Linked DNA regions of Ovis aries. The protein of the gene in region 2 purifies or fractionates together with the protein of the main gene of each other region. This does not show direct contact. Links are inferred from orthologs where the notes say so. Each region holds a gene or a part of one and is shown on either strand. Other genes may lie near its edges.

Region 1 (4,307 bases), on a different chromosome or scaffold from region 2:
TTTCTGTATGCCAGTTATTGGTTTAACCATCTGGCTGCTGCTAGGCTGGAAGCTCCTGCAAGGATTTTATGTCCTCACCACCTAACAATCTTTGAACAGTAATCAAATATTTATTGAACAAATGACATTATCACTTAGGTCCCAACCAAGTGCAAAATGCTGTGTATTTTTCCAATACCTAGTTTGGGTAAACTGCTCTCAAGTTGGTATTTTCAAGGGAACTGGGTCTATGGCTTTGGAGGAAGGAGAGTAGGCAGTTCAGAGAGAGGCAGAAAAATTGCCCTTTCTCGGTGAGAAAACCTCCCCTCCATTCACCTTCAACTACATTAAAGCTCTTAAGTCTCTGGTGACAGTCTGTGTATTTGAGGTAGGGAGTAGGGGACCACAGGTGGAAGTAGGGTTTAGGTACACTTCGGATTTTAGCAGTTCATGTTTTCTTTCCCGTAGGGAGAGACTCACTGTAAGTAGCTACCTCTTTAAGCGATCGGATTTCTGGTCCACACCGTCTTATTTGCAGCTTACTTCCACTCAAAACACATAGAAGGGTTTGCTTGCAGGGAGTCAGAACAGTAGTGAGAATGGTGAAATCAAAGAACGTCTCTCCCATCCACTCCCTAGAGGAGTTAATTTCTCCTCCGCAGGCTCAGAGTCCCGCCCTCTCCCGTCTCAGACTCCGCCCCTCCCCACTTCTCCGCTGTCCTGGCGGGCTCATCCAGGAGGGGGCGGCCCCAACCCTAGCGCTGGGCCGGGCCGAGCTCCCGCCCGGGCGGAGCTGCGGCTGCAACGTCCAGCTGCCGGACCGACCTCCAGCCGTGCAGACCTTGGGAGCAGCGCCGGGCCCCCTCCCCCCCATCTCCCCAGCCCACCCTCTGAGCGTCCCGAGTCCCCTCCCCGCTCCCTGCAACTGTGCTGGTAAGTCCCACTCTCGGCACGAAACTTTTTTGCTGGCGAATTTGAGCCCTGCCGCGGGACCATGAAATACAATGTAACCGGGGCGGGGGGAGGGGGTGAAGAATTGAGAATAGCCGTCTTGAAATAAACTATTTACGACTCCTTGGCGTCCCTAAAATGGATCAGGTCTCACCCATTTCCCGAGTTGGTGGAACTCTTGAATTTGGCTGGTTAAACTTGTAGATAGGGAAACGAGGGGGTTTGCTCCAACTTCGCTTCCCCCTCCCCCATTTCTCTGAGATTAAGCCCTTCTCGAGACTTTTCCCTCCATATCCCAAATATCTTTGGCTTTCTCAAAGCTCATCCCTTCCCGACTCCGGCGTGGCAAGGCCCCCCTCCCCCATGTACTTCGGGTTCACCTCCTCTCCCATGCCACCGGGGACCCCGCGATCCTTCGGGCGGCACACTCCCTCCGGGTCTACGGGTCTGGCACCGCGGCCAAAGACGTGCAGCGGCTGGGTCCGGCTGTGGAGGGAGGGGCTGAGGCCGGGGTTCGTCCGAAACCCGGCGGGCGGGGCCGGGAAGGGGAGGTGTAGGGGGCCGGACGGGGCGGAGCAGGCGGCATTTGCGGCCGGCGCCGGGGTGGAGAGTTGTGCGCCGGTCCCTGGGCCTGAGCTCCGGCTCGGGCTCGGGCGCCTGCGATGTCTCAAGATGGCGGAGCTGGGCGAATTAAAGGTACCGGCCCCCTCCCCCATCCCCATCTGGACTGAGCCGGGCTGTACGCCGAGTCTGGGAAGCGACCGAGACTGGGTGCTGAGGGCTCGGGTGGGGGCTGGAGACGTGGTGGGGACTGGCTGCTGGGGATGGAGAGAAGTGGCTGTGGCGAGGAAGGGGCTGCGTGGGGCTCCGGGGGCGGGGCCGCGGGGCAGATGTAGGGGTGGGGCCGAGGGGAATTGCAGCTGTTGGGGGCCGAGGCTCAGGGGGCGGGGACGCGGGGTAGAAGTCGAATTTGGTAGTAGGGGCAGATGTAGGGGTAGGGCGGGGAGGAAAAGCTGCTGTGGAGGCACAGCGGGCGAGTCGATCGAGGCCTAGAGAGGTGACAGTAGGGGGCAGGTGATGGGAATGGGGCTGGGGGGCCGATTACCGGGAGGCTCCTGGGGGAAAGGCGCTGAGAGGATAGTGACTTTGGGGCTGCTGTTGGGATCTGAGCCTTGGGAAGTACCAGTAGGTGGCTGAGATCTAGGGGGCGGGGCTGTACGGGGATAGATCGAAGGGGTGGGGCAGAAGCATCCTGGAGGCTGAGAGGAAGGTCCTGCCTTAGTGAGTCGGTATCTCTGGGCAGAGAGAGAGAAGTGTTAGACTATGGGATTGAAAAGAATTTCTTGACAAAGCTAATGGAGAAATAAAGACAGGACCGAGGAGATAAGGATGAGGGTAAAGGTAGAGGAGCAAGTTTTTAATTATATTCCTCAAAAGGGGCCCAAAGCCATAATGCCTCCATAAGAATTGCAGATGATTAGCAAGATTGGCCCGTGGCAGGGTCTCCTGGAGATTCACAGAAGTGAGTTCTTTAAGCGGAGAGCTTACCACTACCAGAATCTTGAGGATAAATAACCATCTTGCAGAACCTTTAAAAACCATGGGGTTCACCCCCTTGCTCCTGGCTTTATTCTGCCTTTTGAAATGGAACCAGAGTCATGGGAAGGCCTGAGGTCTAGTCACTGGTTCCAGTTTCCTAGGAGAGCATGCAGTTCTGCAGTCTGGCTCAGGGGCTGATCACCTCCCTATTCTTCCAGGGGCTCTCTTTAGAGCTTTCCCCTCGTTTCTTCCACCCCTGTGGAGGAAGGGAAGAATCACTTACTTTCTCTGGGTAGGAGAGAAGCAGGTTATTAGTTCCTGGCAGATGGAGTAAACAGGTAAACAGGAAGGATACCTGGACTCCACAATTCACTGTTAACCCCTCACCCCAAGTTTTACTCCTGTTTCTCTCCCAGAAAAAATAGGACTGAGGGATGAGTAGTTATGTAAATAACACCAAGGAAAGGTTTGGGAAGTTATAAGCATTGAACCCTGACCTGGCCACAAAAGCTTGGGGAAAATAGCTGAGGTAGATTGAGGGGTGGAAAGGAGTTGATTTTGAGGCACAGTCCTCCAGCCACCTGGCCCCTTTCTTCTCTGTGGGGCTGTCTGGCCTGAATCCTCTTCTCCCCTTCCTCCCCGTCTCCTGTCCCCTTCCCAGGAGGCTAGGATGGGTCTGAGAGTCTGCGAAAGAGCAGGAGAGGAGATAAGCAGCTTAAAGGAGAGTCCAGGCTCAAGGCAGGGTGGTGGGAGGAGGCTGTAGTGGACTCAGAGGTGTGCTGTAGGGTGGCAGGCACCCTGCGCCCACATGGTCAGCTGATAAGATGGGGAGACAGGATTGTTCAAGCCTGGGGGGGTAGTGGAGAGGTGACCTGAGGGTTGCTAGGATGGGAGCTAGATGTCCTTTTGGCTAGGTGGGCAGTTTGGCAGCAATCCACTGGCTGCAAAGCATCTTTCAGATCAGTGCTGGAGGGAAAGCACATTCCCCACCTAATAGCTCAGCCCTGGTGTCTTTGGCAGGACAGGCCTGTGCAAGGTAGGATCCTCAAGCTTCTCTGATCTCCACAGCACATGGTGATGAGTTTCCGGGTGTCTGAGCTCCAGGTGCTCCTCGGCTTTGCTGGCCGGAACAAGAGCGGACGGAAGCACGAGCTGCTGGCCAAGGCCCTACACCTCCTCAAGTCCAGCTGTGCCCCCAGCGTCCAGATGAAGATCAAAGAGCTTTACCGCCGACGCTTTCCCCGCAAGACCCTGGGGCCCTCTGATCTTTCTCTGCTCTCCTTGCCCCCTGGAACCCCTCCTGTAGGCTCTCCTGGTCCTCTGGCTCCCATTCCCCCGGCCCTCTTGGCCCCTGGCACCCTGCTGGGCCCCAAGCGTGAAGTGGACATGCACCCTCCTCTGCCCCAGCCTGTGCACCCTGACGTTACCATGAAACCATTGCCCTTCTATGAAATCTACGGGGAGCTCATCCGGCCCACCACCCTAGGTATGGCTCTTTGTGGTCCCTGGGTCTTCCTGGCCTCCCTGCTTCTTCCTCAAGCCTTTCTTAGGCTTTGTCCTGTGGGCTCAGCAAACTGGAATAGGGGCCACTTCTGTGGCCCCCTGGGCACGGGCTTGGGAATAACTGCCCCTTTGTGTCCTCAGCATCCACTTCTAGCCAGCGGTTTGAGGAAGCGCACTTCACCTTTGCCCTCACCCCCCAGCAAGTGCAGCAGATTCTTACTTCCAGGTTTGTCTCTTTGAGTCCTCCTGCCTCATCCTTGGGTGGTTACCCTGAGACTCCGCTCTCTGACTTTCTTCTTTTCTTTTTTGCCCTCCTTCTCACCATTCTCCTGCAC
Region 2 (4,277 bases):
ATGGGAGAGCAATAGGAAACTTGCAGCTCCACCAGGAAAGACCCTACCATTTACCCTATAGATGCTCTCACCTCTTTATTTGCATATATGGTGGTCCAAAGGTCTAAACTAGGGAACCAGAAGAATTTGTGAGTAAAATGTCATGCTGTGTATTTCTGGGACTAGAATCCATAGTCTCCAACAAACTCTCAGATTCCCCAAAGGTTAGGAGTCATTGATTTTCCCACCAGAAATTAAAGAATAGCTATCCTTGGCGAGAAGGACTGGTGGGGGAAGGAGGCATATTTTCAGTTTTAATTTTCACGTTTTCTGAACTGTCTGAATTTTCTAACCACAAACATGTGTTAGTTTCATTGAAAAAGCTGTCATCAAGGTTTATTTGGGTGTTGAGATAACAGGCCCTTTTTAGATTTCATCTTTAATACCTCTTTGTACTAAACAAACACTAATAGCTGTTATTTTTAAAAACCCTAATAGTCTTACACACACACACACACACTATAATGCAAAGAACATCTATTATGTGAGGTGAAATGTCTACATTTCCTATAAACTACTGGTTAATGCAGTAAAACTTTCATTCGAAGTAGATGAGGCGAAAAAGATAAAGGCACGCAATTTCAAGTATTTCAACTCAGACGCATAAAAACAATGTGTATACGTGTCATTCTTCATTGGTACTGTCTCCTTATTCCCTTGAACCTGCCAATGTGCGAGCCGTTGGCCTTTGATGCTTGAAGCGACGGAACGAAGGGCAGGGTTAAATCCACTACCTTCTCCCCACGCACTCTAGTAATTACTCTATTTCCACGTCATGTTTCCGGGTGTGTGTGTCCCGACTCACGCAGAAACTGAAGTTCAAAGCAGGCGGGAGTAACCCATGTTCTTTTTGCTGTCCCCAGAAACCCATTTCGGGCGTTGGGCCCCTAAAGGATCTGGCGACACCTGAGGACTGTCTAACTGGCTGATTCCCACGTGGTAAGTGCCCCCAACCTTGCCCCCACGTGGTGCCAAGGGCCGGGAAGAGGGAGAGCAGGCAGAAGGGAGCCGCATCAGGGGCATTTAAAGTGTCTTGACGTCACGCACTGCCAGGAACTCAGCTGAGTTTTCAGCAGGACATTCCAGTCATCTTCCCTCCCTCCCCCCGGGCTCCTCTGCCCAGGGCCTTGGTTCTTCCCCAGTTGTTGCGGAGGGAGGAGCCCTAAGAGTCGGAACAGCCAGAACAGGGGCGTTCCCAGCCTTGTATTGGCTCCGCCCTTCCACCCAGAGGCTCTCTTCATTGGCCAGTGGGTGGGGCTTCGGATGTAGAGTCTGCTCAGCAGGGCTTCTGGGTGGCCGAGAAAACTGGTCATGTTATGAATTATACATGAGCGGCGTGCCTAGGCCAAGCGGGGGCTGGGCGGGGATTGGCTGGAGGGGCTGTAATTCAGCGGTTTCCGGAGCTGAGGCGGCGTAGACAGGGAGGGGGAGCCTGGGGTTCCGACGTCGCCGCGGAGGGAGAGAGCCCGAATCGGATCCCTGACGAGCACCCCAGCTCCGCGCTCTCCCCGCTTCTGCCAAGGGAGACTCCGCGGCCTGAGGGAGCCCCGCGGCCCGCACCCCGGCGCAAGCGCAGCCCCGGCCAGTCGGGCCTCAGCCCGAGCAGCAGGTGAAGGGGGTTTAAGGGTGGGGCTGCCCCCCGACGGCCTCCAGGCCTGGGCATCCCGGGGGAGGAGGGGCGCGCTGGGAGCTTCTGGGGTGTTTGGGGGAGTAGTGAATGGAAACTTCAGTGGGGTCAGGGGGATACGAGGAGACACGGAGAGTCGCTGTGAAGGGACAGTTCCCCGGGATGACAGGAGCCGACCTCTGAAGGGACGGGGTGCGCTGGAAGGAAGTTTCGTTCTTTGGAAAAAGGGGAGACGCAGAGGAAGAGAGAGAATGGACTGGAGGGGGAGGACCGTGGGGCGAGGGTACTCTAGGGTTGGGGGGCAGGAGCGAGGGACAGCCCCCCGACTTCCTGCTCCCTGGGGCTCTGGGGACGTTCCGGCCACGGGAGCCACTGTCACGCCGGCGGAGATCACGGAGTGGGGGGGGGGGGGTTGGCAAGCGCCTCCTCCCCGCCCCTCGGCGGGCCCGGCGTCTCCCGGCTGAGCCACTTCCTCCGCCTTGCCCTGTTCCTGCTCCTTTAGGAGCCAGCTGTGCCCCCCTGGAGGAGGTAGGAATAGGTGTCTTCCCTTTACAGCCTTGCGGGCTGTTTGGTTATGGGTAGGATTATTGCATAAGATTCAAGTTTCCTGTAGGGAAATTGACAGCCTTGTACTCTTTCTAAACTCCCCCCAGCCTTTTTCTGGGGTAAAGTCGTGTTTCCCTTCTCCCTCTTCCAAAAAAAATCCAAATAAAACCCCCATCAACCCAGCTCTAAAGAGAAATAAACCTTTTTCCTCCTTGACATTGTTCTTTTATAACCACCTGGTAAACTTGGCCAGAAGATAAATAATTGAGCCCTTGCGTTTACTGGATTGTGGTGTTGCTTAATTGCATAGAACAGAATGAACCAATAGAGAGTGGGAGTTTTCTGTCTCAGAGCCAAGATCTTGGGTAAATGCGGAGAGAGAAACAAAGACAGGCTGGCCTTGGCAAAGCCATGTGTGCAAACTTTACCTGTGTTTGGGGGTGTGGTTGCACTTCAGTTAGCTTAATTCAAACCGTCACCTGAGTGGTTTTTTCCATGTTTAGTCCACATCTTTCTGTGTTATATCAAGTGGATGCATGATATTGACACACTTATTCTTATTAAAAATGTATATAACATGTCCTTGCTGGTTGGTTAAATAAATAAAGGGCATATTTATTCTGTGTGTGGGTTGTAATTTTTTGGTTGGCTGAGCTAATACAGCATTGGTTTGAAGAAATCAGAACTGTAAATTATCTCAATCTTTTATATGTGGATTTAGACTGTTATGACTTGATTTAGCCAATTTTATGTTTTATATCAAATATGTCTGTACTCCCTGAGTCAGCACATTTATTTCCTTATTACATGTGCCAGGCTGAGCAATGGCACCCCACTCCAGCACTCTTGCCTGGAAAATCCCATGGATGGAGGAGCCTGGTGGGCCGCAGTCCATGGGGTCGCTAAGAGTCGGACTCGACTGAGCGACTTCACTTTTACTTTTCATTTTCATGCATTGGAGAAGGAAATGGCAAGCCACTCCAATGTTCTTGCCTGGAGAATCCCAGCAACGGGGGAGCCTCGTGGGCTGCCGTCTGTGGGGTCGCACAGAGTCGGACATGACTGAAGCGACTTAGCAGCAGCAGGCTGAGCTACTAGTAAAATTTTTGCAGTGACATTTGCACAGTGGGATGGAGGAAAGAAGTCTTTAATACCAAAAAAAAAAAGAAATTGTAGATGCTAGAGGCTTTTTTTGTGTGTATTTATTATTTATTTATGGCTGGATAGGGTCTTAGTTGTGGTGTGTGGGTTCAGTTGCCCTGAGGCATGTGGGATCTTAGTTCCCCCACCAGGGATTGAACCTGACTCCCCTGTATTGAATGCGCAGATTTCTTAACCACTGGACCACAAGGGGAGTCCCTGAGGCTTGACCTTAATCTCTATATTTGCTAGCATATCTACCACAAAGAACCACTAGAAAATTCATAAATCTTCTATCTTTATATGTAGTTCTTTTGGGAAGAATAGCCATCTAGAAATATCCATAGTTATGACTTGACCCACAAAGGGTAGATAGTTCATGTAACCTTAACTCTGCTTTGAAGATAAGGAAATTGAGGTGTAAGGAACGAGACACTTGCCCAGGCAGCAACATACCATAGTGATGGAGCTTGTACCTTCTGTATATTTTGTTTGCTTTTGACTATCTATGCTTAAGTATTAGGTCTTAATTTAGAGTGACTGTAGGCCCTACTGGGAAAAGTGTCAGTGAAATTCTAACACATACCTAGACCATCAATATCCTATAAGACTCCAAGGGAGATATTTAAAATAAACAGGTGAGTCCCGTTTAGGTTATTACAGAATATTGAGCAGCATTACCTGTGCTATACAAAAGGTCCTTTTTGATTATCTCTTGTAAAATAGCAGTGTGTACATGTCAGTCCCAAACTCTCACTCTCCTTCCCCTCAGGTAACTTTTTAGTCTGCATAATTTACCATCAGAATTTAGCTATTTGCTAATGGAAAGAGAGATTTACTGAGGCAGGTTTGTAGGTGAAGGACAGTCATGACCTAAATGTCATTTAAACCAAAGTGTCTTGTGGCTTAATCAGTGGTCATTTGT

The links.
Region 1: the proteins of STAT3 (region 2) and PIAS3 purify together in Homo sapiens (affinity purification with western blotting; 5 studies listed by BioGRID). This does not show direct contact. The link is inferred for Ovis aries from reciprocal best matches to the Homo sapiens genes STAT3 and PIAS3.

Annotation. Positions count from the first base shown.
Region 1 is NC_056054.1:99,195,477-99,199,783, reverse strand, and holds the start of PIAS3 (E3 SUMO-protein ligase PIAS3), read left to right. Parts: upstream 1-1,504; 5' UTR 1,505-1,602; coding exon 1,603-1,626; intron 1,627-3,489; exon of another isoform or gene 3,490-3,537; coding exon 3,538-3,955; intron 3,956-4,113; coding exon 4,114-4,198; intron 4,199-4,307. UniProt on the Homo sapiens protein: Functions as an E3-type small ubiquitin-like modifier (SUMO) ligase, stabilizing the interaction between UBE2I and the substrate, and as a SUMO-tethering factor.
Region 2 is NC_056064.1:42,220,234-42,224,510, reverse strand, and holds the start of STAT3 (signal transducer and activator of transcription 3), read left to right. Parts: upstream 1-1,473; 5' UTR 1,474-1,648; intron 1,649-4,277. UniProt on the Homo sapiens protein: Signal transducer and transcription activator that mediates cellular responses to interleukins, KITLG/SCF, LEP and other growth factors. Once activated, recruits coactivators, such as NCOA1 or MED1, to the promoter region of the target gene.